Linked DNA regions of Cricetulus griseus. The protein of the gene in region 3 binds, or shares a complex with, the protein of the main gene of each other region. Links are inferred from orthologs where the notes say so. Each region holds a gene or a part of one and is shown on either strand. Other genes may lie near its edges. The genes, in order: Clta, Tom1, Myo6 and Gipc2.

Region 1 (7,573 bases), on a different chromosome or scaffold from region 3:
TGGATTGATTCATTAATTAGGTTAGATCTCTGTGGTCCAGTCACTTTCTAACAAATAGCACCATGTGCGCCGCCCCCCCCCCCCTTTTTAAGTTTCATATGAATGTTTTGACTACATGTATGTTTGTTCCACCTGTGTGTCTGGTGCTCGACATGTAGGCAAGGGTAGCTTAGAACACACAGAGATCTTGCCTGCCTCTCTGCCTACTAAGTGTTGAGATTAAAGGCTGCACTGTCATGCCCAGCTCTTAGATGATTTTCCTTGTAGTTATATTGTGTATCTGTGTGCCTGTGTATACTCACTTAATTTTAGATTTGTTGTATTTTGTGTACATAAATGTTTTGCTTACATGTTTTTATGTGTACCATGTGTGCCAAGTGTGCTTGGTGCCTTCAGAGGACAGAAGAGGGTGTAGGATCCCTTGGAACTGAGATGGGTAGTTGTGAGCCAGCACGTGGGTGCTATGAACCTCAAATGCTTCTGCTGTAGGAGCAAGTGCTTTTAACTACTGAGACATCTCTCCAGTCCTGTATATACATGCTTTATAGAAATTCTTGCACATACTTTTGTTTTGGCTGATCTGCTCTATCATACAGACATGACTTCCTATGTTATTCTTTTTTTTTTTTTCCCCAAGACAGGGTTTCTCTGTGGCTTTGGAGGCTGTCCTGGAACTAGCTCTTGTAGACCAGGCTGGTCTCTAACTCACAGAGATCCACCTGCCTCCTGAGTGCTGGGACCAAAGGTGTCTGCCACCAACACCCAGCATGTTTTATTCTATAACTCTAGAAATACCTCACTCTTCATGTACTGGCACCAGTAGTAGGTTTCTCCCAGAACACTGACCTAGTGAAAACATGACTCCTTATTTTTCAGGTGGGGTAACTGACACCTGGAAACAGGAAAGAACTTGACCCAAATAACCTAAGCAGTTAATGCCAGATCTTTTATCCCTAGCACAGTTTTCAAAGCTTTCAGAACAAAGAGTGACCCTGCATAGCAGTACTTGGTATAGATACCTGGTATCTATACTGATGGCCAATTGGTCTTTGTTTTTAATAAAGTTTGTGTTGTGTCAATACATAATATAGTAGCCATTTGATAAAGTAGTGTGTGTATGTGGTAATAAACAATTTAGTAGCCAGTGACCACATGTGGGTATTCAGGTACGCATGACTGGAATTCAGGTGCTCAGTCTTAAAACACTGTTCATTTTTAGTAAGCTTATACTCCAGTTGCAATGTGTGTCTGGAAACTAATGTATTGGAGAGTGTAGCTTCAGGGAGATGAATAACAGGCTGCTGGGTGTCTGTGCCTTTATTGAAGGAGAGTTTGTCTTCACAGACAGAAGTCTCTTTTTTAAAAAAATTACCCAGTTTGTGTATTGAACTATTTGAGAGTTTTTTTTTTTTTTTTTTTTTTTTTTTTTTTAAGAGGTCTTCTCCCACCTCCACAGAGCCTCACAGTGTAGCCCTGCTTGGCCTAACATTTGTTGTATAAACCAAACTGGCTTTAAACTTACGATCCTCCTAAGTGCTGAGATTACAGGTGTGCATCACCACTCCCAGCTCAAGGTAGCTTCTTGAGGGAAGTCAAGCATTTGGCCTTGTATTTCAGTCAGACTGTCACAGATTAGGGGTTTCTGCAGTTTCACCCTTCTCTCTGCAAGAACGGAGAAGGCACAGATGTTAAAATAGAGCTGGTGGCCATGTTCTCAAATAATCTTGCTCTAAGGAGCAATGAGGGTGGCTGGGGAAGAAGGTGCCTGTCAGTGTGCCTTGCTCTCTAAGGAGACTCTTCCTTTCTGCTCACCTAAGTCTCTGTCCCACCAGGTTAAACCCTAAGGATTCTGAGTTACTTCTCGTGGTAGTCCTAATCAGCAAGGCCAGAAGACAAATGTCCTGTTATAGATGGTCACAGTTTTACTTCTGTTAGACCAATCCTTCTTAGAAAAATGTCTGTCTATTCTAACCCCAACATCTAATAATATAGACTAGCTGTGTGATACATACCTCTAATCCTAGCACTTGGGAGACAGACAAGTGTGAGGCCAGTCTGGGCTGTATAGCAGGTTATTGTCCATTTTGGGCTACTTTATGAGACTCTGAAAAAAGAAAGATTTTTTTCCCCTAAAGACTGAATCTGGCTGGGCGTTGGTGGTGCACGCCTTTAATCCCAGCACTCGGGAGGCAGAGGCAGGCGGATCTCTGTGAGTTTGAAGCCAGCCTGGTCTCTAGAGCGAGTGCCAGGATAGGCTCCTAAGCTACACAGAGAAACCCTGTCTCGAAAAAACAAACAAACAAAAAAGACTGAATCTGTCTGTTATGTATCACTTATATCTTTGGCTGTCCTGGAACTTGCTATGTAGATCAGGCTGTTCTCAAACTTCAGAAATCCACCTGCCTGTGCCTCCCAAGTGCTGGGATTAAAGGTGTGTAGCACCATGCCCAGCCCTAACAAAAGCAATGATCATTAGAATACATGGAAAGGATATATTCCAATCTAAAAGCACTTAAATATTTTTAAATTTTTCCTTATTTGTTGGGGAACCTGCATAAGACTGAATTAGACTCCCTTAATATAGGTGACAGTGGTTCGAGTGGGATAATGTATGAGGCCATTGGCAGTGGGTCCAAGATCTAACTCTAGTCACAGTCTGACATAGTGGAGCCCATTCTATATGGAGAGATACCTTGCCCAGCCTAGACACAGGGGTGGAGAGGTGCCTTGGTCCTGCCTCAGCTAGAAGATGGGACAGACTTAGTAGACTTCCTAGGGAGGCCTCTGTGTCCTTACTTGTGTGTGTGTGTGTGCTCGTGTATACGCATGCACTCATGCTTTTGCTTTGATGTGCACGTGGAAGCCACAGGGATAGCTTTAAGGAGTTGGTTCTTTTCTTCTACTGTAGGGATCCAGAGAGCGAACATGGGACATCAGGCTTACACGGCAAGTGCTTTTACCCACTGAGCTATCTTGCCAGCCCAAAAAGGGCTTTTTGGGAAGTAATTCCACTTTGCATCTAGGTTTGGTAGAAGCTTTTTAGTTCCTTGAACTTCATCAACTTCCAGAATCCTCTGTTCTACGTGTGCTGTGGACAGGACCATCAGAAGTTTCCTGGCTGTATATTAGAGTCCTTAGTGGAAACTCCAACTAAATGAGTCCCCCCTGAGTGCTAGGCCATCTTCTAATGAGTTCAACAACAAAATGGAGAGCTTGTAATAATGACGTGAAACTTGGCAGTGACTCCTAATCATCACCAGGCTACTCCAGCTAGCTGTAGCCTGTGCTGATTATTGGTGCATTTCTTGCAAAGGTCATAAAAGTGCCCAGGAATGCTCTGTTTCTTCAGATGATGACTTGGCATCACCTTACTTTCTACCTCCTTCTCCAGGATACTAATTACAGCTTTCGCTCTTGCTCTGTGTTTTTAGAACTCTCTGGATTACTGGTAGCCTTGATGGTCACATCATGTGATTATTTCCAGGCTTGCATAATAAGGAAGTCAAGTGTGAGCTTGAGAGCAGACGAGGTCTTTGCTCTGCCCTTAACTGTGCCAAGTCCACTCAGTCTTCTGAGGTGGTTTGTTTCTTTTCCCCTCACTGCTGAAAATGGACCTAGATTGATCTTGGGAGTACTGTACAGATTTCGATGCATGTAAAACACTTGCTGGAGGGGACGCCCTTGAGAACATGTGACCATTAGAGTGAGCTCAAGTGCCAAGCACACTACACCTTGTGACAGATGATGGTCAGCTAAACACTTTAGAAAAACCATATTTAATCTTAAGAAGCTTCACATTTGGTCTGGGAAGATGGCTAAGAGCATTTGTTGCTCTTGCAGAGGACCCAGGTTCAGTTCCTAGCACCCACATGGCAGCTCACAACTGTCTGTAACTCCATTTCCACAGGTTCTCATGCCTTCTGACCTCTGGGTACCTGCATTCTCGAATGCACACACATTTACACACAGGAATAACAACAACAAAAACGTAGAGAAAAGACATTTCATGTTTGAGAATCCAGACTAGAAACCCTGCATGTGTGAGTTTTCTCCCTCTCGTGTTTTGAGTAATTCTGGGTGATTGTCAAACAGTGATCCCGTGTCCTTGGTCCTGCAGTCCCCTCCATCCCTGCTTGCTTTCACAGCTGGCTCTGTTACAAGCTAACTCCGTCTGTGGCTCTGTGTCCTACCAGTCCTGGATTCCCAAGTCACTTCTGCCTCTGCTAATTTTCTTCTTAGACCTGCCTCATACAAGTGTTTCTACTGTGTTTATAGTTAGGAGAGCAAGTTAGTGTTTTATAAAAACATGAATGGTTACTGTGGGGGTAGACTGTACGGTTTGTGGGAAGAGTAGAAGATACTGTTCACTTGGGACAGTGCTCATCTAGCATGCACAGCATCCTGAGGCCAGTCCCCAGCATGGCACTAAATGGGACAGAGTTGTACATGTCTGTAGTCTAGAGATGTACATTTGGGAGGTAGAATCAGGAGAACCACAAGTTCAAGGTTGTCTATGTTCAGAGTCATCCTGACCTATATGAAATACTGGCTCAAAAAAGAAAAAAGTTGTATCTATCCCTGTGCACCACATGTGTGACGTACTTGTAGGGGTCAGAAGAGGGTATCAGATCCCCTGGAACTAGAATTAATGTGTGGATGTGAGCCATGTGTGATAGATATGGGTGTTGGAAATGGAGCGTGGTCCTCTGGAAGAGCAAAGCAGCCATCCCTCTAGCTGCTTCCCGTCGTTTTCCCAGCGTATACGTACACATACATTCCCATACTTAGGTAAATTCAGTAAGACCAAAATGTTACATGTTGAAATGTACTTAAATTTTGCCTTCCCTCAGTTGTATTCTTTCCTCTCTTTTAAAAGATGCCAATTCTCGGAAGCAGGAAGCAGAGTGGAAAGAAAAGGCAATAAAGGAGCTGGAAGAATGGTATGCGAGACAGGATGAACAGCTACAGAAAACAAAAGCAAACAACAGGTCAGTCCACTGTGGGTCTCTGTGACTGAATCACATCCATTTTCCAGATCCACTTGTATGAAAGGTCTTGGCCAATTTGGAAGAAACTGCTAGAAACAAGCTGCAAAAACTCCTGGGTCTTATGAGAATAATTCAGCCTGGATTGAGTTGGGCTCTTAAACTGGGTTTGGTTTCATTGGCTGTAATGGTGTGATCCAGGGAAGTTAGCACTGGAGAACCCTGAGATGAAAGGTCAGTTGCAGAGTCTCATTACTTGAAAACAATTACAGACTAACTTAGGCCACATTCCATAAGTGTAGCCTTGCCCTCCTAACGAGGCTTTGTGAGGGTCCTTAGAATGGGCATGCTCTGTAATTAGGTAACTCAGGATATTCCAACATGGACTACAGAATTAAGGGTTCACTGGCTTCTTCCTATGCTTAAGGTGTCTTGAATAAAATGCTGTTTTCAGAATACATTTTTCATTTGCTGAAAGTTAATAATGTAGGGAGAAAATGCTCATTTTCCTGTCATTACCATGCATTAGCTGTGGTATGCACTCATTTTTGAGGAGCCCTTCCTTGGATAGTTTAGCAAGACACTTGTGGTATAGCCTCCTGTAGGCAAGGCATTTTAACTTGCTTTCTGCTGGATTCAGAGCCACCTTTTACTGAGTAGGAGGCATGTCACTCATTTCATTGTTTAAAAAAACAAAAATGAAACACAAGACAGACAAGGGTGGGGCGTTGGGTTGATCTCTGAGGGCTGGGTCTGGCGCTGCTTTTTGGGCTGGTCTTAGATAGAAATCTGTCAGAAAATGTAGCTGATACCATTGTGAGGTGTCTGTGACAGAATAGATGGGCTCTTTCATATGGCAGTCCTATGAAACTTCCTGTGCTTTTTTTGGTCCTCCTTGGCACTGTTCTTTGATGCCAGGCCCAGACCTCTTAACCTGGTCATTCTCTGAGGGATACACCCTAGAACAGTGTCTTCAGGTTCTATTTGAAATTTTATGTCAATTAGGGTGGAGACTCCTGTCTGGTCAGGGCTAGTTGCCACCCAGCCGCCCCAAGCTTGTGCTGTGCTGGTGTGAAGTGCTGACAGGTTCCTCTGCTTTGCCTCCTCTAGATGATTGCCCCCCAGGTTCGAGTCTGATCTGTAGTAAAGAAGGGTGCTGTGGTGTGGTGATATTCCCCAGCAATGATGTACTCCACAGTAACTGGGCCAAATGCACTAACTCTTCCTGTACCAGATCCTCAGGACTTCACAACTTGACAAATAGATTTCAGACTCAATAGTGAATGTATTGGGAACAGGCTTCCTGTTGCAGAAGGTTTTGCTTACTGCCTCTCTAAAGGAGTGCCCCATGTATGTTGTAGGACTTAACCTTAGAGGCTGAGGTGCTGAGCATGCAGCCAGATTGTAGTACTTTTCTTTTCTTGCAAATGTAGGGTATTGAGTTGTGTGATCCCCTCATGTTCCAGAGAGAAAAGATTTCTCATGGAGTGTTAATGTGACACTGCTACAATCCAGCTTCAGTGCCTGTCAAACCTGCTCACAGGCTGGAGTCTGTGCATAGAGCTGGAGGTACTCTAGCCAACCACCCCCAGGCTCCTAGGATAGAAGATATGTCCTCACTATTGCAGTAGTTTTGTTTATTTTTTGAGACAGTCTCTTTGTGTCGTCTGGGCTGTTCTGGGCTCTCTCTGTGAGCTCCGTCTGGCGGGTGACCTCCACCTCACAGAGAGCCCCTGCTTGTGCCTCCAGAGCAGAGGGTTAAGTTAAAGGCATGCACTGCTGCCGCTGCTGTTGCCACCACCACCACCAGGCTTCCAGTGATTTCTTCAGAGGGTCAGAGGATGGAGGTTAGGAGGCATTGCAGATCATTAGAAGTTCTAGAAATGAAGAAAGCTCTGTGGTAGAGCACTTGCCTACCATATTGCAAGGCCCGGAGTTCAGCCCACAGCACCACAGAGTGAAGGAGGAGGGTGGAGGTCAAGCCATTTATGGACTACAATCTGGCTGAGATAGAAATGAATGCTTTGTATGCACAGACCTTGTCTCAAAAAAAAAAAAAAAGAACCTCACCAAGACATTGAGAGCAAGTCCAGGCCCTGTCCTGCAGAGGGGGGTGTGGAAGAGTCAGCAGACAGGAGGGGTCTTTGTTCCCATGTCGATGGTACTGTGTTGTCAGTGCCAAACTGCATCTCCCTTTATCCTAAGTCATTCAGTGGTAGCCCATAAGAAAAAATCCTCTTTTCAGAGAGTCAGAAGAGTGGTAGTCTCCTGCAGTTCATCCTACAACAACTACCTTCCCAAGCAAGAAGAGAAACATTCCCCAATTAGAAGTCTCTTGTGTTGGGACTTTCAGTTCTACCACGGCCTGAGAACATTTGAGGAATCTAGTTATTTTTAGCCGTGGTAGACTTCTTTTTCAAACCATGTCCACTGTGACGCTATTTATAGAACGAAGTTCTAAATTGTTATTTTAGGCCTATGGAGCTTGTCCTGTTGTCAGGCATCCCTCTCTCCCTTTCCTGGGTTTCCCTGAGCTCTCTGACAGTGGCTGATTCCAGCTCCACCTTAAGCTGGGAGAAGAGCAAACA
Region 2 (8,286 bases), on a different chromosome or scaffold from region 3:
AATGAGTGAGTGAGCCAATTACAGGAAAACATCATGAAAATAATAATAAAGGAGGCATGCAGATACAAAAGACTAAAAGGTGGTAGATGAATGTGGCAGTTGAGAGCACTGGACCTCCCTTCATCAGAGGGTAAGCGTTAACGTGTCCTGAATCCCCAGCCTCCTTCTGAAGTGACAGCCCCAAGATAGTTCTATATTGAGGACTTTAGTTTAGCTGCTCAAGCATCACCCCTTAAGAGCAGAAATGTAGAACTTTACTCTTATTTCTCAGAGCTCCATGTAGGAACAAAACCTATTCACCAGCTCAGTCCACACAGTCAGGCTGAGCTTTATCCCCAGGAGAGCTGGCTCCATCCTACAGCCTGAAACCTGACCTGCTGTGAATGCCCTGCCGCCCAGCCACCCAGCCAGTGACTGTTCACATCACAGGGACACAAGGACTAACACAAAAGCCGCCCTGGAGTCTGGGCCCTGCATTGTTACCTTAGCTCCGTCACCAAGTATGCCCAGAACAGTGATACCACCAATGAGAGTCCCCAGCTGTGGACTCCTCTTGCCTGGCAGGCACCAGTCCAAGTGCTTCAAATGCCACACATGACACAGCAATCCCACCTGACAGGTGCTATTATTAGCCTCCTTATACAGATGAAGGACCAGAAGATAGTGAGGTTAATAACCTACTCCAGGACACAGAGCTAGTATTTTGATTCAAGGTCACCTTGGCCTTTTACTAGTATTTGTCCAGCCAGGGCATAGCCCTATGTAGACTAAGTCTCACTCCATGGAACAGGCTGGCCTGGACCGCACAGAGATTTGTCTGCCTCTGCCTCCTGAGTGCGGCATGAAAGGCATGCAACACCACACCGACAACAATAATACTTAATGGCACATGGAAATGACATAAACTCAAATTCTACAGCCCACAGTTTTATTGGAGCATGGCCACACCCATGTATTTACCTATTGTCTCTGGCTGCTCTTATGCAATAATGGCCTTGTTGAAGTATTTAACAGAGACCATATGGCCTTCCTAAGCCTTGAGGACTGACTTTGTGGCCCTTTGCAGAGTAAGCCTGCTCTAGTCCACCCTAACAGCCAATGCAAGAGTCCTCCAAGGCAACTTCTCCTTTGACCTTTACCTTTCATCAAGAGGTAGCAGGGGATCTCATTATGAACAAGGTAACTGGCACACCTCTGACAGGTCCAGAGTTGGCTGCTTAGCCCAGCACTGACTTTGTAACACCACACTGCCCCTCTGTGCCTTGTAGTACGAACTGTTCCCCATTTCAATTACGTTTCAGCTGCTGTTCAACTGTCTTTGGGGAAGGGAGGAAGTGGGGCACCTCTGTGTTTCATTACAGATGGGGATAGAAGATAGTCAGCAGTAGACAGTGACTGCCCAACATCTACAACATGGCCTAGCCTGTGTGTTTCTAGCCTATCTTCCCCAAAGGAACCTCAGAGCCCTGATGCTGGCCATTCATTTCTGATTTCTGTCCATGGGCCTATGGGTAGGCTTTGGGAATCCAAGGACAGCTCTACCCTCTGGTGTGTGTGTGTATGTGTGTGTGTGTGTGTGTGTGTGTGTGTGTGTGTGTGTGTGTGTGTGTGTGTGTCCTCTTCCCTCCCCATTTCCTCACATGGTATGGCTCACTCACTATGTTCTCCCTTTAGTCTATAAAAAACTTTCTCCTCCACCACACCTAGGAGCAGCTACATCCTTCTTTTTTTCTTTTTTCACAATCTGCTAGGTGCTAAGGCACCAGGAAAGGAAGGGATAGCTCCTGATCTCAAGTCAAGCCTAGCCTGAGGGCAGACTTGCAGGGATGGTGGCACATCTGTGTGACGGAGGTGGAAACAGTAAATGATGGTGAGATAGCAGGCGCTGGTGTTCCCTATTCCCTACACCCTCTCGCTGTGCAGGCACTCTCCGGGGAATTGGCATTTTTTACAACCACTCTCAAGCAGAAGAGTCGAAGCATACAAACTGAAGTTCTCAGAAAAGCTACTTCTGTGTTGAAGATGTTAGAAGGCTGACTGACAACAACTTTGTGATTGTGGAGAGTGGAAATGTTGCAGATCTTGAGACAAATGACCTTGCTTTAGACCCTTTATTAAGCATGTATTGCTCATCTCCGAGTTGTGATCTAACAAGTCTGTGACTATCAGGCAACACTTTTGGAATAAGTTAATAGAAAACTAGTGTCCACCAACCCAAGGGCTAGGAATGCCATCAGCTAGCACCTGAGAAGTGCAGCATAGATATTCGTGCTTTGCTGTATCCCAATTGCCTGATTTCTGGCTTACTTTTGTTTTCTGTAGCTACGAAAACATCATGAAACCATTTCCCATACTGGATCATGTTATTTGGGGTGATAGGAATCTGTGTTCCTGGGTCACAGCAATTCATATTTGGCTCAGGGATAAACTATCTCTGATTTCCCTTGAGGTGAGAGCTGTTTTGTGCCTACTGGAAGCAGAGTGACAAGAGAACAAAAGAGCAGCAATTGGAGCTGGAGTTAGGAAAGGCCGCAGGGAAGAGGTGATGGTGCCCAGTGCTCTAAGGGATGAGCCCAGCTCCTCCCAGAAGCAGACATTGTAGGCAGTGAGACCAGCAAGCATCAGGTGTATATGAATTGTGAGGACAGTGACACTGGGCCCTGATTAGCACCATTTAGTGATTGCTGTTCTCTAGTATGCCAATCATACAAGATTCTACTCTCAGGGCATGAAGCCAGACCTGAGAAGACACCATTTTACTCCTGTAGCAAAGGGAGGGGGGAGGGTCTGAATTACAGGAATGCAAGCACCTAAAACCTGGCCATCGATCATCACAGCCAGCCAGGCCCATTGGCATAGGGACAAGGTCTCTGATACTTGGAAGCTGATCAGGGAGGACTGCTTGGGTCCATAAGTTCCAGGCCAACCTGGGCAACAACTGAGACTCTATCTCAGACAGACAGATACATACCCCTTTCAATCTCCAGTACTTCTGTCTCTCTATACATGGAAGACTATGGAACACTGATATTGTTCAAGGTAGGGCTCTCTATGTAGTCCAGGCTGGACTTGAACTGAAAATAGTCCCACTTCAGCCTCCTGAGGGCTGGAATTATAGGCATGCTCCACCACACTGGGCTCTTTTACAGCCTCTTTAGTAGCCCTGGAAGGCTCATTTCAGTTGTGCTATCAATTCACTGGGTTTTTGGGTGAGTCTCAGTCTTCACCACCTTCCCTTTGTAGAACTCAATCCCCTCCCTTCAGTAACAGGACTTTGCAGACTGGTATTTTTTGTTTTGAATCAGGGTCTTATTCTGCAGCTCCATGCTGCCCTGAAACTCATTTTGTAGTCCAGGTAGCCTGAGACTTGGTGGCAATCCTCCTGTCTTAGTCTACCAAGTGCTAGGATTACAGGTGTGAGCCACCGCTTCTGGTGGCTCACACCTGTAAAATTTGTGGTCTCCTAGCCAATTGCAAAGAGCATTACTGGGAACTCCACAGATGCCAGTCTGAATCTGATGGGTCCAGCCAATTCTGACATAAAAAAGGCAGAGGGTCCAGTTGTGAGATGTAGTTAGCACTGAGGTATTGATATAGCACCATTCTGTCTGTCCAGAAGTATTTCTTGCCCAAGGAAGGCAACCTTTCAGGGTAGGAAGAGGTGTTGAGTTCTGAACAACTGATATGCACACTGAGCCTAAATAAGCACATCCAGAAAGTCTCAGGACTTTGTGGTTGGCTTTGAAGAATGGAATAATTAGCTTGTTTTTACATAGGAAGTTTGTGAAGAGGGTTGTCTTCTCTTTCCAGGTCACAAACGAGGACTCAAAGATGGGGCTTTTGCGAAGCACCTGGGTTTCAGGCACTAGCAATGCCCTGCAGAGAACTGATGAGAACCTCCAAACTTACAGCAGTGGCGGTTACAACACAAAGCTGGGCTAACGACTTCGGGGAAGCCTTGGCAGGAAGAATGCAAAGAATGCCTTAACTAAAAGATCCAGCCTGTTCAGTCTGGATCCAAGGAGAAAAGCCACCAAAAAGAATTACACAATGCTGTCGGGACCCTTCAGACAAGAAGAGGGGTCACACCCAGACCACCCATCCCTGGAGAAATGTCGCCACCTGAGTAGGTACTGGGAACCGGCACTTTCCCACGGGCTCCAGCCCCACAAGGTGGTACCACAGTGACAATGACAAGCATTAGCCATGTGTCAGGCAGCATCCTCAGTGCCTTGCGCTTAATAATGCATGTAATGATCAAACAACCCCAGGAAGGCCGGGCCACCGTCCCTTAACTACGGTCGAGGCGACGTCACACAAACCCGAGTCTCCCGACAGCGGGGACAGAGGCGTGGCCGAGCCCAGACACCTCAGGAGTCCCGGAATGTGAGGGGCCGGTGACGCGGCGAATGACCTGAGCGCGGCCAACCCGGGAGGGACCTTCGGCCTGCCCGAGCCTGGCGGCGGCGGGGCCCCACACCGGCTCACCACAGCAGTCCCTTTAACCTAAACTTTCTCCTTCTACTCCGGACCCCAGCACGCGCGCATTGGCTGAGCCACATCCGCCTCCTCTCCCTGCCTATTGGTCACCCTCAGCATCAATCCCCACACGAGGCTTCTGACTGGTCCGCAATCTTGTCAATCAGGTGAAACACAGGTGGGGCGGAGCCAAGAGCGCCGCGCCAGCCTCGCCGTCTGCCTCCCTCCTCCAAGGACTCCGACAGGTCCCCGGCCAGAGCTAGACAGGGGCGCGGCTGCGCGCGGCTCCCGGGACTCACCGATGCGTTGTCCCACCGGAGAGCTGAACGGGTTTCCCAGGAGAAAGTCCATTGCCGCAGCTACCGCTGCCACCAGCTCCCAGAATCAGGTGACAGCAACCGCCGGCGCCGCCGACCCGTCACGTGACCCGCTGGCCGGCCCGCGGGGCGGCGGCTCTGGAGCACAGCCCCGAGGCCCCGCCCTCCAGGCCACGCCCCTGAAAGGCCTCAGTTCACTCTGCGGCGGGGCCTAGAAGTCTTCACATCCGGAAACTGGGTCTCTGGCCAGGGAAAGACTTGGATCAAGTTACACAAACTCAAGCCCAGGCTGGTAGCAGGGTCTTAGCCTTTAGTCCTGGGGACGTAGCCCTGAGAGTAACAGCCTCCTTGACTTTTTGATGTCTCCCTGCTCCACGAGCCACCTGTGGGTAGCCCAGAGGAGGCAAGGGTCTGGACTTGTGCTCTCTTAAGGCAGCGAATGAACTCCATCTATGTCCAGGGCAGTTCTACTTGGCAAATGGGGACAGTGCTTTTTCTGCATCTGTTTCCCTCAGTGGTAAAGGGGGACACTATCCATAACGCTTTGAGAGTATTAAGATGACATGCAAATTGTTCAGTAATGGGCATTCAATGACGGTGATTTCTTCTTTGACTTATCCTTATAAGACATGTTTTAATTCTCTTTAGTGTGTGTGTGTCATGGTGAATACAGAGGTCAAAAATCACAACATGCAGCAATCCTCATTATGTAGGTCTCACAGACTAAACATGGCAGCTAGTACCTGTGAACCATCTCACTCCTCATACTCTGCAGCCTTTTTTTTTTTTTTTTTTAATATATACTCTCCCTAGGCTAGTCTCAAATTCAGATCTCCTGAGTGTTGGAATTACAGTCGTGATCATTAAAACCCAGCCTTTAACACCAGTTTTATTTTGTTACTTAAATTTTTTTAAAGATTTATTTATTATGTATACAGCGTTCTGACTGCAAGCCAGAAGAGGGCACCAGATCTTGACAGATGGTTGTGAGTCACCATGTGGTTGCTGAAAATTGAACTCAAGACCTCTGGAAGAACAGCCAATGGTCCCCAGCCCCCACTACTTATACTTTTTAACATGTTGTATTCTATTAACTTTTTTTAAATCATGAAAGGTCAAATTTCCACATATTTAATGTTCATAATATTACCAAACATTCACTTTGGGCCAGCTGGCTATAGACTCAGAGACAGCGAGTCTTTTTTTTTTTCCCCTTCAGACAAGACTCTGGAAGCTCCTGGGACATGGACTATATATTTTCAGCACAGGATTTTCATGCAACCCTGACAAAATACTGATGGATACTTGATTTAAGCCAATACCATAATGTATAGGGTTTCACTGGCCAAGCATTAGAGCCACAATTTATCAGGTTCTCTAGTTTTACAATATGCAAATGATACTTGGGAGCCTGAGACCCAGGATGGGTAAGAATATGAAAACTTGACCTTTATTCCAGGTTTTGGCTTAAAACTTTTTAAATATAAATTATGTGTATGTGTGTGTATCTGTGTGTGTGTATGTATTTGTGTGCTGATGCCTAAGGAGGCTCGAGAGGGTGCCTGATCCTCTGGAGCTGGGCTTTAGCTTGGGTCCTCTGCAAGAGCAGGCAGTATTCTTAACCACTGAACCATCTCTTCAGCTCCTGACCTCTTTTATCGAAAAATTAAGAGTAGAACAGAGTGAATAACAGTTTTATAATTTTATAGCAACTATGAGTAACCCAAGGGAAAAGACAGCTAAGGCTACCACAAATATTAAAAATGAGATCTTTAATATAAGTACAAAATTTTGTTTTTTATACAACTGTAAGATTTGGATCAAACCACTAGGATTTATTTAAAAAACAAAATAAAACAATGATATAAAAACAGCAAGAAGGCCTGAATCCAAAGTTTTTCTTCTAATAGTACCAAATACCACAAGTTACAGATTATTATACAAATGTGTACAAATCTTTAATACAAATACAACAGGGCTAGGTTTCAGAGGAAAATGAACACGAAAAAGCCGGTTATCACCAGGAGTTCACTGCTGTCTGTAGCAATGACAACAGAGGACTGGCTGCTTCCTGCACTATGTGTGCCTTCTTGGCCTCTCCTTCACACCCTGTTTCTTAAAGGAAACTTCTGCAGGTTCAAATGAGATTCTGACCTGTTAGCTGAAATTTAAATTTTGGTTCTTCTTGATTCAGTTCCCACATATTCCTGTTTCTTTCTCCATTTCCCAGAATACATCTCAACACTGCTCTGAACTGAGAAAGACTGGATGTCCAGAACGCCTGTGAGGCGCTAAGCTATGAAACACAGTGAGGCTATATGGGAAGGAATTAAACAGGATGGCAGCTGACTACATGGTCCCCAAAGCTTACTGTGATGCTGCCTTGTCCCATTTAGGCCAGAGGGAGAAAGCATGGTTACCTCAGCATGGTTTTGGCAGGGAAGGGAATCTCACACCAAGCTTCCAAACAACTCTGGAGTGCTCAACTATCTTTTAATGGGGAAGCAGGTCTTTGGGAATAAGGGCAGTTGGGAATTGTGACATTTCTTTCTACTTCACTTTGCTAACATTATTGAGGGCCATGAAGCTCCTTTCTGAGTCATAACACCTTAACATATGGATGACCTGGAGCTTTTAGACAGACACGAAGAAATGACAAGTCTGTATGCTCCACATGCTACTGCTGGTGGAGGCTTGTTATTAAATTATATATACAGAAATTTACAGGATAAATTAAAATCTAAAAATTCTAAAGAGTTAAATACACATAATTAAAATATATGCTCACATACACACATAGATAACCCCATTGAGAACCGAGGGTTCCTTTGTGATCCACATGTGTGAGGAATGCAGAGCACAATCTGCCCATCAGGGGAACCAGAGCTGAACTAAGAAGCTGCAGAATCTCTCAGGATTTGGTGGCCAACCAACAAAACAAAAGATACCAGCTTTGGTTTTTATAGACCAAGCCTTCTTGGCCAGCCAATGTAGGCTCAAAGGTGGCACCAACAGCTTTGGCCTCTCCAAGCTATTTCTCTGCTGCCAAGAATCACATAACTAAGGCTATCAGTGGTATCAATGACTCTGTGGTAACAATGGTTACAATAAAATTGGAGACACAGATACCTGTTTAGTAGAAATGGAATGAGTCCCCTATTAGTCCGCCTAAGCCATCTCTACCTCCCCTCAGGTCACTTTGAGTCAAATAGTTTGTAGTCAGCTGGTCTCCTCCCATAATCTTTACTATATTTCCAATTATAAGACAGGTAAGGCAAATGGTCAGTGATGGGTCTGGAGGTACAACCAAGCTTGGGGGAAAAAAAATCACATTTTAGCTGTCTATAACGAGATACACATGGCACCCAGAATAAGCCCCTAGTCCCCAAATTACACTGATTTTTTAAGGCAGATTTTTTTTCACACAAAAAAATAATCCCAAACCCACATTCATGCCAAAGTTTCCTTTTCAGCTAAACCCTTGCCATTT
Region 3 (7,573 bases):
CTTTCTAGCCAGCTAAGTGTTGTCAAAATCTAGACATATATCATAATTCATGTGATTTCTAGTAACTTGTATTTCTTTTAAAAAAAAATCAAAAAAATTCCTCCTCTTTTTTTGTGAAAATATGATAAGCAATTATCTTCCCATTCCAATTAATTTGAGAATCTATTAATTGGAGGTCAGAAGAGGAAGTCAAATCACTTCAGACTGACAGGTGGTTGTGAGCCATCATGTGCATGCCAGGAACTGAACCCAGGTCCTCTGCAAGAGCAGCCATTGCTCCTAACTGTGGAGCCACCTCTCCAGCCCACACCAGCATTCTTTCAAGCAATCAAGTCTTCCACTAGGATTTTCAAATCTGTAATTATCACAGCATTGGGGGTGGGACAGGGTTGTATAGTTTCTTACTATTCAGCATAACAATCAGACAATTGTGTGCATTTTCCACCACATTCTAAGTTGCCCAGGAACAGGATAATGCCTTATTTATCTTTTAATCCTGGCACAATGTCTAGCACCCAATAATCAACCAAGCAATAAGCGTTTATTGCTGAACTGAACAAAGGGGTATAATGATGCATTATTTATTAACATTGGCTCAGTGATCAAAGTTTCTACGGCTACACTAAAGGTAATTTTAAGGCTAGTATTACAAAACCTTATAAATTTCCAACTGGGTTTAAATAAGATTTTAAACAACTGTCCTTTTACCTACTGAATTACATGCCTTCTCATATACTATTATGCATGTTGAGAATCACTTATCTCATGTATTTTGAAAAAGTGATTCAGATTGCAGAGTTGCTTACATTTCAGAGTATTTGCATAAAGTTTCATTTTCCTGGTGAGCTCACAAATTCAAAACTACAAAGACCCAGACTTCACAGTATTTGAGATTTGGGGTTTTCATATTAGAGATACTGAACTCATGATAGACTTACAAATAAATCTCAACAGAGAGGTCGTCAGCAAGACTATAAGTCTAACACATCATCTGGTTACATCTCAGGTATCCATGGTGTCGAAGGGGAATCAATACCTTGGCCCCTTCTGGATAGTAGATACCTAAGTTTGCGAACCTTTTAAAACAGCATCACACTTGTACATGATCTGCAAACACACAGCCTGTCAAATACTTCGAATTATGTGGAAATTATTTATAATCCTTACTACAATGTAAACATTCTGCGAAGGAATATTATTCCTTGCTATTTAGTAAAAATAATACAGAACTAATACATGCTCAGTATAGATGTATTCTTTCTTATCCCCAATATTTTCAATTCATGATTAATTAAGCCTGAGATATAAAATCTGCAGATTCAGAAAGCCCACCATACTTCATTTAATGTTAGTTATATACAAATACATCTAGGTATCAAAATGCAGTGAGTTTTAGCACTGAGAGAGTAAACAATTTGCAAACCTCGTATAAAATGTGTTTTCCTTCAACCTACCCGAAAATTATCTGGAGAACTCAAGTGAAGCTTCTCCCTAATGTCTTCTGAAGCCCCAGCACACAACCTGTAAAAAATATGGTAATTCCGCTCCTCTTTGCCTTGAACACAGATCCTAGACTTCTCTAGGAGATAATGAGAAACGAATCCTCCAACAACTGAACTCTAAAAGACAAAACAGAAAATACATTTTTTGCATCTATGGAACTGAAATATAACTTAATGTTAATTCAATCTTTTCTAATAATCATTTGCTTAGCAAAGAAGTCAAAAAATTTATCAAATATTACAAAAAAAAAACTAAATGTAAGCTCAGAGTATTTCTACAGCTCATCCTTCATTTTAAACACTGTTATCATCCGGTCTCCACCCTGATCCCTTCTAGCTTTTGAGCCTCTGCAGAATCAGAACTGACTTTGTGGTCGGCCCAGTGTCCCCAGCAGCCCACTGGGCAGCTGCTGAAGAGCTGTCAGACTGCCATCAAACTCACCTCATGCTGAGAAGACACTAACTGCTCTGATGTGATCCTCACAGACTATACAGATCCACAGATATACACATCACTATGTACCATGCTGTGCCCGTGAACATGAACATTATTACATGTTATCAAAACAATGAAAGAATCAAGTATGAGAAAAAATTAACTACAACGCTATGATTGATAACGCAGTCAACTCCAATATTTTAATTTAAACTGAATAGAAATTCTGAAGTCACTGTAAATGCACACAAGCACACACACCATAATAATTACAATAATAATCATAGTAATAATCTTAGGAAGAACTGTGCTAATTCCAATTCTAATAAGACCCTTACACTTACCACAAACACTCCCCTAATGTATCCCAAAAGCAGCTTTCTTTTACCTTTTCATTGAAGTGAATTTCCACAAATTTTCCAAATCGACTGCTATTATTGTTACGAACAGTCTTTGCATTTCCAAAGGCTTCTAAAAGAGGGTTAGCTGTTGAAAAAGAAATGAAAATGCTTCACCAGAAAAATCACGAGAAAGGCATGAAGAGAAATTATAAAGCAATATACATATTACATCTCCACAGGGGAAAATTCGGGGAAAGTGATGGAATAGATGCTTTTAGAAATATTAGTATGGAAGAATTATCCAGCAATGTCAAATTCCACAAGTGTGAAATGTTAACCCGCTGTCATGGTTTTATTTTTGATTGACAAGTGGACAAGGTCTAACGTCATCTATGAGACTAGCCTCTGGCACAGAGAAAGACAATAGGTTAATAGATCAGCATGAAAGTAATATCTGAGCAAATATTTATAGGAGGTAGAAAGTCTCTTCCACCTCTGAAAGAAAAGCATTGTAGGTCTCAGATAAGATTCTTCTAAGTTAACTTTAGAGGTACCCAACATTAAAAAATAAAAATCAACAATACCTTCAACAATTCTATCATCAATATCTTGACCAGTTCCATAAGATTCTGTCAGGTATCTGTTTAAAATATAGAATTTTAAAAAACTGAATAATATTCAGGACAATATATTTATAAATTTACTATTTAACATATATATCAAACTGAAACATGGAACATGGATCATCATTGTAACTGTTTAGTATTGTTTTTAAATTTTTTTATATTTTTATTTATGCTTCTGTATGTGTCTTGTGTGGGTATGTGCAGGTCATGGAATTATATGTTTGGAAATACTCTGATTTTTAACAAATTTTCAACTAGATTTACATAAGTATCCCATTAACTATTTAACTTAATAACTCTATACACTTCCATAAGAAATAGAAACCTTCATAAAGAACCCCACCATGAAAAAACTAAGAACTGTAATAAATTAGAAACAATACTGATAATAATTCAGAATGTGCTGGTCCTAGCAGTATCTTCACCACTGGATTTAACTTCCTTTGGTATGTGTGATGATTGGCATTGATCATCAACTCCATAGGACCTAGAATGACCTAGAAGACAGGTCTATGGCCACGTCTGTGAGGGATTGATATTTGTTAGATAACTGAGGTGGGAAGACCCACCCTTAGCATGAGTGACAGCATGCCATGTACTGGGATCCCAGACCATGTGGAGAAGGTCTAACAGGCTAAGGACAGCACTCACTCATCCCTCTCTACTCCCTGACTGTGGGTGGCTTCAATGTGACCAACTCCTGCCAGCACGCCTTCTCCACCATGGTGTGTTTGAACCCTTGAACCATGAGTCAAGATGAACTCTTCCTCTCTTGATTCCTTCTTGTCTGATATTTTGTCACAGCAATGAGACAATTTACAGAATTTAAATTAAAGAATAAGACTATAGTCATGTGGCAATGCTCCTTCCACTTTAAAAAGGTTGTGGCTATACACCACGTGTTGAGAGTTTTGTATAATGGTAGAAAGGGGATCTGATGAGAGAGGGATAAGAGGAAGTCTAAATAAAAAGTAGTTTCAAATATATTTCAAAGCACCAACATTGAGAATACAATGGAGATCCATAGCCAAGCGCCAGGCCAAGCTCTGGAAATCCAATCAAAGAGAGGGAGGAGGGATTATATGAGCAAAAGGGGTCAAGAATGAGACAGGGGAACCCACAGAGACAACTCACTTAACTTCTGGGAGCTCACTGACTTTAGACTAACAGCTGGGAACCTGCATGGGACTGAACTAGGCCCTCTGCATGTGGGCGACAGTTTGGTAGCCTGGTCTGTTTGTGGGACTCCTGTCAGTGGGACCAGGATCTATCCCTGGTACATGAGCTGGCTTTTTGGATGGAATGCCTTACTCAACCTCGATGAAGGGGGGATGGTTTTTGTCCTGCATCAACTCAATGTACCAGGCTTTGTTGACTCTTCACAGGAGGCCTTACCCTTTTTCTGAGGAGTGGATGTGGGGTAGGTTGGGGGGACATAAGGAGAGGAGAGGGATGAGGGGAGAGAAGGTGAACTGTGGTTTGTATGTAAAATGAATAAAAATTTTAATTAAAGAAAGACAATAGAATGTCCATTTGGATTTTGAAAGAATATTCCTGGGTTTGTCACTGCCTATCAAGCACTAACTTCATATAGAATCCTCCAAGAAACAACACATCAGAGCCAGCTATCTACAACAGAGAGATTGACTTCCACGCTTCTTTCTTCCAAACTATTCCATACAGTATACAACAGTATTAAAAGTCAATCTGCTTAAATACCCTGTGATTACCCCTACACACACACACACACACACACACACACACACACACACACACTCAAAACTGCACTATTCACAATGGCCAAATAACAGAAACAACCCAACTGCCTATCAATACATGTACAAATACAGCAAATAAAATAAATTCCTGCAATGAAATTTATTCAGCCCTAAAATTCAGGAAGGAAATTCTAATGCATACTATAACATACTATAACACTAGTGATTATATCTTTTTAAGAGTCAGGGTCTTATAAAGTTTTTTAGGCTCCTATGCCCTTGAAACGAAAGTTATCTTCCTGACTCAATCTCCTAAGAAGCTGAGGGTGTGTGTGTGTGTGTGTGTGTGTGTGTGAATTGTGTGTGTACACACATAGGTGCATGTCACTATAACCAGCTCAAACGTGAGTGAATCCCATATTAAACTAAATGAAACAAAGAAGTCACTGAAAGACTAATACTATATGATGCTGCTTAAATAGGTACTCAGAGAAACTCATAGAAACCCAAACAGGAAGTAATATCTTATTTATGTACTATTTAATGAGTACAGCATCTGAAGGAGTAATAGTTTATTCATGTGCTTTGTACAGTTCTGGGTTTTGTGAGGTGAGGAATAGAAACAACGCAATGACATGAATGTGACGATGTGAGTGTGCTTAGCATTGCTGAACTTCAAAGTGGGCAGTCGACAAACTTAGTGGTAAAGCTTTCTTTTACTACTGCTCAGAACATTTCAGATCAGCTAAATACTCACCTTAGAACAAACTTTGTATTTTCTGTTTTGCCAGCTCCCGATTCTCCAGACACAATGATAGACTGACTCATCTTGAGCACCTTCATGTCTCGAAAAGCCTTGTCAGCTGGAGGCAAAGTAAGACAGTAATACAGCAAGCTGAGTCACTGACAAGAGTTTAGTGTAAGGGTCTTTACTCCTAAAGAAGTCATGAATGTGTGTTAAAAGTCATCCAAAGGTTTCTGTAAGCATTCACTTGCAATGTTCCTAAAAGACAAGTAATAGGAAATCCGAACATCTCAAGATTGTGCTAGAGTGTTAGATTGTCTCCACATTGACTTTGGCTCAGCTTGCCCAAATGCCAGAGCAGATCTGCAGAGGGAAAGAAAATGTTCAGTGTGCATAACTAATGAGGTCCCCAGTGAAAAACAAGAAGCAATGAGTTTCCAATGAGAAATTTGGCAACTGAATCCATTGTGAGAGAGAAAAACAACTGAAAAATAAATCTACAGAAATTATTTCCAGCTCCATCCACTTGCCTGTAAATCTTAGAGTTGCATTTTTGCTAAAGCTGAGTGAGGAAACCAAACACACAAAGATAAACATCACATGTTTTCTCTCACTTGTGAGTGTTAGCCTTGAATCTTCAGATGTGTGTGTGTGTGTGTGTGTGTCATTTGGAATAACCATAGAAGTCAAGACATAAGTAGGGGACCATTAGGAAGTGGGGCTTTCAGGGGAGGGGGAATAGGATGCAGTAACATAAAGGGGAATAATGGAACAACAATGGTTAAATGGGGTAGGAATGGGAAAGCAGAATAAAAGAGGGAGGGGAAAAGGGTGAGGAACAGAAGGGCAGGATAAAGGAGGAAATATGGGGAGAGATAACTCATGCTAAAGACTTCCTAAAAGCAGTCATGAAAATCTACTGCTGCAGAAGCTTCCTAAAATATAAACAGACCCTCTAATGGAACAACAATGTCCCCACACTCAGAAAGACAGATATCCTACATTTTCTCTCATGTAACTTGAAAGCAGAAGGGAGACTAACTTGTGAAGAGGAGGGTCCAGCAAGAAAGAACAGAGGGACAACAGAGGATAAAGAGGAGGATATGAGAAAAATGCATGACATAATTTCCTATGAAAATGTCATCATGAACTCATTTTTGCACAGCAAACACAAGCTTTAATAACTCATAAACAATATCTCACCACAAAAAAACATTTAAAAAAAATAGTTGCAAAGCAATTTGTCTCAAGAAGACATGTGCTATACATACAAAAAAAATAGCTTTACAAATGACAAATGGCTTTGGCTCTAAGAATAAGCTACAAACAATATTGCATGGGTATTCCCACCAGCCCACTGTGATGCAAAGTGATACTGCTGGAAGGCAGAGGAGCCTTTGGGAAGGAGGACCCAGTAAGAGGCCCTTGGGTGACTGGATACACACTCTGACAAGGTGGTTTCTCACCTGTTCCCTTGAGTTCTTACAAGAGGGTTGCTATAAAAAGAGCAAGCCTGGTACCTCTGATTGTATCCAGAAAACACCATGTCCTATATTCGCCCATCACCTCTGCTCTTACAGTCTCTCTGCCTCTTCTTCAACAATGAACTCTGAGCCTCTACATCTGGTTGGAGATCAACTATGTGTTCCTGTAGCCATTGCTCTGTGCCAAGAGGGGATGCAGCCAAGAGGTGGTCTACACCACAGAGCCTGTGCTATGCTATGGATTATGATGCCCCCAGGCTATGAGCTAAATAACCTGCTTCTTCACAAGAGATATTTCAGTAGTAACAAGACTGATGACCATAAGCAGCACACACATCTCACTGTCCAACCTACAAAGGCCTTCTTATAGTTTGCCTCATACTGCCATTCTAAACACCTTTAGCAGTAAAGGCTATAAAACAAAAGCTGGTTTATTTTCATTTTAAGCATATAACTTTTCTCCAGTGATGAGCTTCATTATATTCAGATTCTAATGACTGTGCTGGTAGGAGAACATTCCAGTGTTCACCAAAGCATTTGAGAACTGTAAGTCAGTTGGGTGTAGCACTGCTTCTGAGTAGCATGTTTATCTGCCCATATACAACAACCAAATCTAGAAGTGAAGTGTAGTTAAGTCAAAACACAAGCACAACGTCTTGTGAACGTCTAAGGAGAAACACACTGCACAAGAAAGAGCACTAAAACAAGATACCCAGCTACT
Region 4 (7,150 bases), on a different chromosome or scaffold from region 3:
GCATGCCCGCAACCACAGCACGGAGTGGAGTGCAGACTAACTATGAGAAAAGGAACGCTAAGAACAAGAAACAATGAAGAACAAGATTGCTGGAGCTAGCTAGCTCCCAGCCTAGCCAGAGAAACATGAATTCCACATTCAAAGCAGTTCTCTCACTCACACACACTCGCTAACACAGTCACACGCTTGCACTTCAGACACACACTCACACACTCTCCTACATACATACATATTCCCACACTCTCACACTCATGCAAACACACCAAAAGAAAATCACAATGATGATAAAAACATATAATAAACATTTCAAATCTACCATCTACTGACCAAAAAAAAATTACACTTTTGTTATTGTTTAAAGCACCATGTATCTATGAGACTCCGACTTCACCTAGCAACTTTCCCGTTCCTAAAACATCGGCTCTTTCTTTGTATCTAAGACTGTACGGGCATTTTTGAAGCCTTCAAAGGAGACTCGCTGAACACTAACCAACAGATCACACTAACAGCACACAGAAGAATTAAACAGCTGGACTCTTAGGGGATACTTGTGCTCCACATTAGTTCAAGTGGCTCACATGCAGGGTTCAGACTAATAAACAAGGAAAATCAGCCAGAGTGTTGCTCTACTGTCACAGAAGAGGTGACAGCAAAAGCGACATCTTTAGAGAAAAGGACAGAGTTGTCCCGACAGTAACCCTCATGAAAAAGGCATTACCTCTGGTTTCCCGGAAGACACCCTCCCGGCTATCATGCCTGATGACAGCCGCCGTGCCCAGTGTTTTCCATCAGATGCACTGGAGCGCTCGGCCACGCTGTCCTCCACCTTATTAAATGATCTACTCTGGAGCCATTTATTTCCATCTCCATTGCATTTGTGAAATGTCCAAGAAGAGTGAGACTGTCATTTCCCCTCAATCTTCTCAACAAGGTAAGGGTTGGAGGAAGGGTGCGAGAACTCTGAAATAACAGCCCAGCGCGAGTCTTTCCACTCTGCCCTCCCCCTTATTTCCACCGGGAATCAATTCCTGACAGCGTTCCCTCCAAGGTTTGGAAGGATGAAAACGATTGCTGCTTAAACCACACACACGCACACCAAAGGCGGCATCTCAAACACAGTTATTTTCTGAGCAAATATATTTCCAAATAAAAGTTCTACAAATATAAACCCTGGCCTGGAGGCCTTAGAAAAGTTATCAGGAAAGACACTGTAGATGGAAACAGAAAGAATACTTCAAAGTCAGGAAAAAACAAAAAGCACAACTGCTTCTTCCCGTCACTTTTTCAATCCCCAGCCCCTACACACATACACACAACATACAAACACATACACACATACACACACATGTACACAAACATACACACACATGCACACACATACACACACATACACACAAACATACACACACACATACACACACAACATACAAACACATGCACACAAACATACACACACACACACAAACACACACAATTTGTGCACACAGCACAACTTCAGCCAATTGCTCTTAAGGGCAATCGTAATTTTTTTTTAAGTCAATGCTTTACAAAGAGTGTCCTAGGAACCAGTAAGCCAAAACAATCTTGCTCATTTAAAAATCAAAACTGTGCTTCTAGATTGTGGCAGATGTCATCTGTATTTCATTTTCTATATGTATCCTGTTTAGATTAATGTAGTGAAATGAAGATGTTAGGAGGTAAATCGGGCTCTAAGCCTAATTCCCATCGTGTTAAGATTTTGGAAGAAAGGAGTCTGGAGAGAGGGTTCAGCACTGCAGAGCACTGGCTGCTCCTGCAGACAGCCCAGGTTCAGCTCCCAGCACCCATGTGCAGCTCACAGCGGTGTGCAAATCCCGCTGGAGAGTTACAGACAGTTGCAGACGCCCCCTTGTGGCCTCCTCAAGCAATGGTACACATACAATCAACACACACCGTAATGACAAATACACTTTTTAAAAGATAATGGAGGACCAATACCCACAAAGCTGCTGTAAGCAACCTACTTAATGTGCCACGCAAGGCATGAGTGTCAACAGGGGACGAGACCACCCATGTAGAAATGTTTCTTTAAAAATCACTTTCAGAGGCTTTTGAACCAACATTAAAATGAATCATAGTTTAATTTATCTTAAGCATACTGCATAGGAAACTATATTAAACATTATCCATAAATCAGAATTACGTTTCATAGACTGTGTCTCATACACATGAAGCTAAAGCAGAGTCCATAAAGATCCCTGAGAGTCCCCAAGGAGACTGCCCTGGAAGGAACCCTCGTCGTTTCTGAGGAAGACTGTCCACACCATCATCTTCCCTGTTTCACGTCGCCAATGGCTCCCCACACATCAAACACAAATTCGTCAGGAAAGGCAAAGTCTCCCAGAGTCTCATCAAGTGCCACGGCAAACTCATCCGGGTTGCTTTTGTCTTTTCCAGCTTCAAACATGGTCGTAGCTGTCAATGATAATTTTTAAAGGTTAATAAGCCATGAGCCAGCACCAGAGGACTGACTCTGTCCTCTGTATCTGGTATGAAGCTGTCACCACTGCCCTGTCCCCAGCCTGAGAGTCCATCACTTGGGAGTCTCTAGAATTCTTTGGTGTTGTTTTGGTTTTGGGCTGGTGTGGGGTATATGAATATGCACAGAGAGGCAAGATGCAACCTTGGGTGTCAACCCTGAGATGCCAGCCACCTTTTTGATGCCCTCACTGGCCTGGAGCTCACTAGGCAGGCTGTGCTGGCACCAGTAATCCTCCTATCCCCACTTCCCCAACACTAAATTCTAAAGCCTGCACCACCACATCTACATTTTACACGGGCTCTGTAGATCAAACTTGTGTATCCAAGAGAAGTATTTTACTGAGTCCTCTCTGCAACCCTCCAGCAATTCTGAGGGTGGAAGACACATTTTAAGAAAACCTCATGGCAGCCGGGCATTGGTGGCACACGCCTTCGATCCCAGTACTCGGGAGACAGAGGCAGGCAGATCTCTGTGGGTTTGATGCCAGCCTGGTCTACAGGACAGGCTCCAAAGCAATACAGAGAAACCTTTTCTCGAAAAACCATAGGAGGAAGAGGGGGGAGACAGACAGAGAGAGAGAGAGAGAGAGAGAGAGAGAGAGAGAGAGAGAGGAGGGAGGGAGGAGGGGAGAGAAGAGAAGAGAAGAGAAGAGAAGAGAAGAGAAGAGAAGAGAAGAGAAGAGAAGAGAAGAGAAGAGAAGAGAAGAGAAGAGAGAAGAGAAGCTCACGGCTAACGTCACCAGGAATCTTAGCACACACCTCACCTCCCCACAGTAACACCCTCTGTGCCTTCCATCCACGCCCTACTCCCAACTAGCTGGAGCGTATTCTTCGCTTTCCAAAGGAATAGTTTACAACTACAGCGGTTTGAGTTCTGCAGCATCTTTCTTGAGCACCTTCTGGTTTAGGACTGAAAATTAGCCATGGGATGCGTGGTCTGCCTTCCTAGGAAGCTACTTAAACTCTGTGTTCTATGTCTGGGAAACAGCACTCCCATGAGCACACATTCCCTAAGGACTTTGCCCAGGATAGAGAAGCCCATGAAGTTCCACTCCTGAGACGCACAAGTGACCACAAAGGATTTTTTTTAATGCCACATATTACAGCTAAGTGCTGACCTCTTGTGGCCACTCTGAGAGTATTTTTATGCTCCTACCACCACAAAATTTTGACCAACACAGTCTCCATTAAGTTTGTGAATATTTAAAGAACTTTTAGGTATAAAAATTGACCTATTACTTAACATTTTTATTATATGTGTGTATGTATATAGTTATATGTGTGTGTGTGTGTGTGTGTGTGTGTGTGTGTGTATCATGTGTATATAGTGTGTGTGTGTGTGTGTGTGTGTGTGTGTGTGTGTGTGTGTGGTATCAGGGTCTCATATATGCCAGGTAGATGTTCTATCTATAAGCTGTACCCTCAGCCCTACAATATGTGTTTTAAAACATTGTTTATTTATCTGTTATTTTTTATGTGTATGGATGTCTTGCCAGCATATATGTCTGTACACCATAAGTCTGCAGTGCCTATGGAGGCCAGAAGAAGATGGTACATGCCCTGTGACTGAATGTCACAGATGACTGTGACATGCTGTGAGGAACAGGTCCTCTGAAAGAGCCACCAGCACTCTTAACCAATGAGCTGTTTCTCCAGCCTCTGCAGTGCACTTTTTAATAAAAATCTACTCCAGATTTCATTAATCTCAACTCAGAAGGAGCTCTTCACAGTGTGTGACTTCACTGACCAGTACCAGGAACCCAAGGAAGAAATATGTTCCCCCCTATGGAAACACCATTAATATATATCTTTCTAACCAGCTATCAAAGGTATTGTGGGGGAAAGAACCTAGGAACTACCATTTTAATTGCCTTCCCACACATTCTAGTATTTTTAACAGATTAACTTTTATAATTCTTAAGCTGTCAAAATTAGTTTCAAAATCCTAGACTGGTATCAGGAAACACTGTAGGTACACAGGCAGTTACACCATTGCCTTAAATCTTGAAGGTGGAAAGTACAACAATGTATCCTTGAGTTAGATCACCCACACACACACACACACACACACACACACACACACACACACACACACACACTCAACATCTTCTGGAATTTTTTTTCTTTACAGATAACATCTCAAGGTAATTAGCTTGGCTGGTTGAAAAATCACATTTCACAGCGTAGCTTCACAGCCATTGACGTACATTCATCCTCAGAGGTATTTCCTACAAAGACTCATTTGAAGCTAGGCGGTGGTGGCCCACACCTTTAATCACAGCACTCGGGAGGCAGAGACAGGCAGATCTCTGAGTTTGAGGGTCACCTGGTCTACAGAGTGAGTGCCAGGAGAGCCAGGGCTACACAGAGAAATCCTGTCTCAAAAAAGCAGAAAGAAAGCAGGAGCAGGAGGTAGGGAGGCAGGGAGGGAGGCAGGGAGGGAGGGAGGGAGGGAGGGAGGGAGGAGGGAGGGAGGGAGGGAGGGAGGGAGGGAGGGAGGGAGGGAGGGAGGAAAGGCATTCCCAGAAGCTAGTAGTACTGGCTTGCTGAAAAGCAAAGGCTTTCATTTGTCTGTTAGGTTAACATTTCTGAATTACATTTCATGCTAATCATTTCTGAACAACAGAAATTCCTAATTTAACCACAGCTGAAATTCTTCAAATAATTACTTTCCTTACACTTTGCCTCCCTAAGTGACTGATGACACTACTAATCATGTATGATGACAATGGCTTCGTGTCAATCAAAGGAATTTGCTACAGATGTTTAATTAAACTAACAAGGGACCACTGGGTGATTTCAATGAATATTTTAGAATATTTAATGGTCTGCATTTCTGAGCACAAGAGAAAATTCATTCTTCTATTTTAAGGTTCTTGTCTAAATTACATTTATTTCTTCAGTGTTTTTTTTTTTTTTTTTTGTGTGTGTGTGTGTGTGTGTGTGTGTGTGTGTGTGTGTGTGTTTGGGGAGGAAACATCTGGTGTGAGGTGATATTTTGTTTATGATCTAACAATTAAAGTCTACCTAAAGATCAGAGTGCAAAGCTAGTCACACTCGCCAGTCAGAGAGGCCAGGCAGTGGAGGCACACACCTTTAATCCCAGCACTGGGGAGACAGAGGCAGATGGATCCCTGTTAATTCAAGGCCACCCTGAGCTACACAAAGTCGATCCAGACTAAAAGAGGAATAGAGCTCACCCAAAGGTGATCTCAGCACTTGGGATCCCACACCTTTAATCCCAGCACTAGAGAGGAAGATAAGGCTGGAGGGGACAGGAGAGCAGGGCAGTCTGAGGTTTGGAGGAGACAGTTGCAGTCTGAGGTCAGGATCGCCCTTCCTACTGGTCTGAGCATTGGTAGAGGTGAGAACTCTCCAGTAGCTGGCCTGATTTGCTTCTCTGATCTTCAGCTTTAACCCCAATATTTGTCTCTGGGTTTTTATTATTAAGACCTATTAGAACTTGTGCTACACTGGTACACCACAGTGTGGATTATGAATGTCAAAAGACAACTTCAGTTTTCAGGAAGCCGTACTCTCCTTCCACCTTATGGATCCCTGGAACCAAAGTTGGGTCACCAGGCTTAGTGGGCAATGGCTTTTACCTGCTGAACCATCACATGAACCCAGAAGATTCATCTTTAAAGACTTATGATTTAAATCCATTTATAATCATTTCCCTGTTATCCATCACTCTGCTGTACTGTATTTGTGTTTTTTAAGATTTAAGGGTTTCAGAGATGGCTCATCTATGATGAACACTTGTTCCTACAGATGACACAGGTTCAGAAAACAGCTTCTACATGGCAGCTCACAATCATCCATAATTCCAGTTCCAAGGGCTCTGACGCCCTCTTCTAACCTCCGAGGGCATCAGGCACGCACATGGTGAACATGCAGGCTAAACACACACATAAATAAAATAGTTGTTTAAGATGTGTTTTATTTGGGGGGACGAAGAGATGGCTCAGTGGTTAGGAGCTCTCAGGTTCAATTCCCAGCACCCATGTGACAACTCAAAACCACAAATCCAGTGCAATTCCAGTCAAGGAGCTACCATGGCCTCTTCAGGCTTCCGTGAGCACCAGATTCTATTTTATCTCGATTTCTTTGAATATGTGTGTTTGTGCAGGGTGAGTATTATGTGGGTGCAGTAACCATGGAGGCCAGAAAAGAGAGTCAGATCCTCTGGAGCTCGAGTTAGAGTGGTTGTGAGTCACTCACCTGGGTCCTGGGAAATGATTTCACATCCTCTTGAAGAACAGCAAGCAGTCATGACTGCTGAACCATCTCTCCAGCCCCCATATTTGTGTTTTAATAACAATAACTCATCCTGACTTAATAACTACAAAAAGTTATAATGCTGAAAACAGCCCTAGGGGTCCTTCCTTGAAAGCTCCCAAATTCTGGCTCACAAGTCCAGGGATAGACTTGAGTCCTGAATCTTACCCACTGCCTCAAAAAAAAAAAAAAAAAAAAAAAAAAAAAAAAAAAAAGCCCAACCCTTAAACACCCTGGAGGGGAGAGGTTGCTTATGCCAAGTGTCTCAGGAGAGCCCCAGAGTTCTCAGTCCCTGTGGAAACCACAAGTGGAGCAGTGTTGATCAACCTCTGTCAACAGGTTCAGGGCT

Evidence for each region.
Region 1: the proteins of Myo6 (region 3) and Clta are in contact, whole or in part, in an NMR structure (PDB 6E5N), measured with the Homo sapiens proteins. The link is inferred for Cricetulus griseus from reciprocal best matches to the Homo sapiens genes MYO6 and CLTA. Residues at the interface, in NP_001355794.1 of Homo sapiens: Met1053, Thr1054, Pro1055, Met1058, Ala1059, Met1062, Ser1087, Trp1089, Lys1090, Tyr1091, Glu1113, Arg1117, Leu1118, Val1120, Tyr1121, Trp1124, Asn1128; in NP_009027.1 of Homo sapiens: Glu47, Asn48, Glu50, Ala51, Phe52, Ile54, Leu55, Asp56, Gly57, Gly58, Ala59, Pro60, Gly61.
Region 2: the proteins of Myo6 (region 3) and Tom1 are in contact, whole or in part, in a crystal structure (PDB 6J56), measured with the Homo sapiens proteins. The link is inferred for Cricetulus griseus from reciprocal best matches to the Homo sapiens genes MYO6 and TOM1. Residues at the interface, in NP_001355794.1 of Homo sapiens: Ile1182, Phe1184, Trp1202, Gln1214, Glu1216, His1218, Asp1220, Lys1221, Pro1222, Ile1224, Leu1226, Glu1234, Met1235, Cys1236, Leu1238, Glu1242, Thr1243, Gly1244, Leu1245, Arg1247; in NP_005479.1 of Homo sapiens: Ser440, Glu441, Phe443, Phe446, Leu447, Arg450, Ala451, Ala453, Ala454, Asp455, Leu457, Pro458, Asn459, Leu460, Ser461.
Region 4: the proteins of Myo6 (region 3) and Gipc2 are in contact, whole or in part, in a crystal structure (PDB 5V6H), measured with the Mus musculus proteins. The link is inferred for Cricetulus griseus from reciprocal best matches to the Homo sapiens genes MYO6 and GIPC2. Residues at the interface, in NP_001034635.2 of Mus musculus: Ser1055, Lys1056, Trp1057, Lys1058, Tyr1059, Arg1084, Arg1085, Leu1086, Val1088, Tyr1089, Trp1092, Lys1093, Asn1096; in NP_058563.1 of Mus musculus: Glu255, Leu256, Tyr257, Met258, Gly259, Ile260, Asp262, Asp264, Leu265, Thr268, Thr289, Leu290, Asp292, Phe293, Ala294, Pro296.

What each region holds. Positions count from the first base shown.
Region 1 is NC_048595.1:99,473,180-99,480,752, reverse strand, and holds part of Clta (clathrin light chain A), read left to right. Parts: intron 1-4,876; coding exon 4,877-4,988; intron 4,989-7,573. UniProt on the Homo sapiens protein: Clathrin is the major protein of the polyhedral coat of coated pits and vesicles.
Region 2 is NC_048596.1:150,804,914-150,813,199, reverse strand, and holds the start of Tom1 (target of Myb protein 1), read right to left. Parts: upstream 4,937-8,286; 5' UTR 4,831-4,936; coding exon 4,779-4,830; intron 1-4,778.
Region 3 is NC_048597.1:191,154,863-191,162,435, reverse strand, and holds part of Myo6 (unconventional myosin-VI), read right to left. Parts: intron 5,487-7,573; coding exon 5,381-5,486; intron 2,920-5,380; coding exon 2,864-2,919; intron 2,425-2,863; coding exon 2,327-2,424; intron 1,620-2,326; coding exon 1,455-1,619; intron 1-1,454. UniProt on the Homo sapiens protein: Myosins are actin-based motor molecules with ATPase activity. Unconventional myosins serve in intracellular movements. Myosin 6 is a reverse-direction motor protein that moves towards the minus-end of actin filaments.
Region 4 is NW_023276806.1:7,254,109-7,261,258, reverse strand, and holds the end of Gipc2 (PDZ domain-containing protein GIPC2), read right to left. Parts: intron 2,455-7,150; coding exon 2,306-2,454; 3' UTR 2,205-2,305; downstream 1-2,204.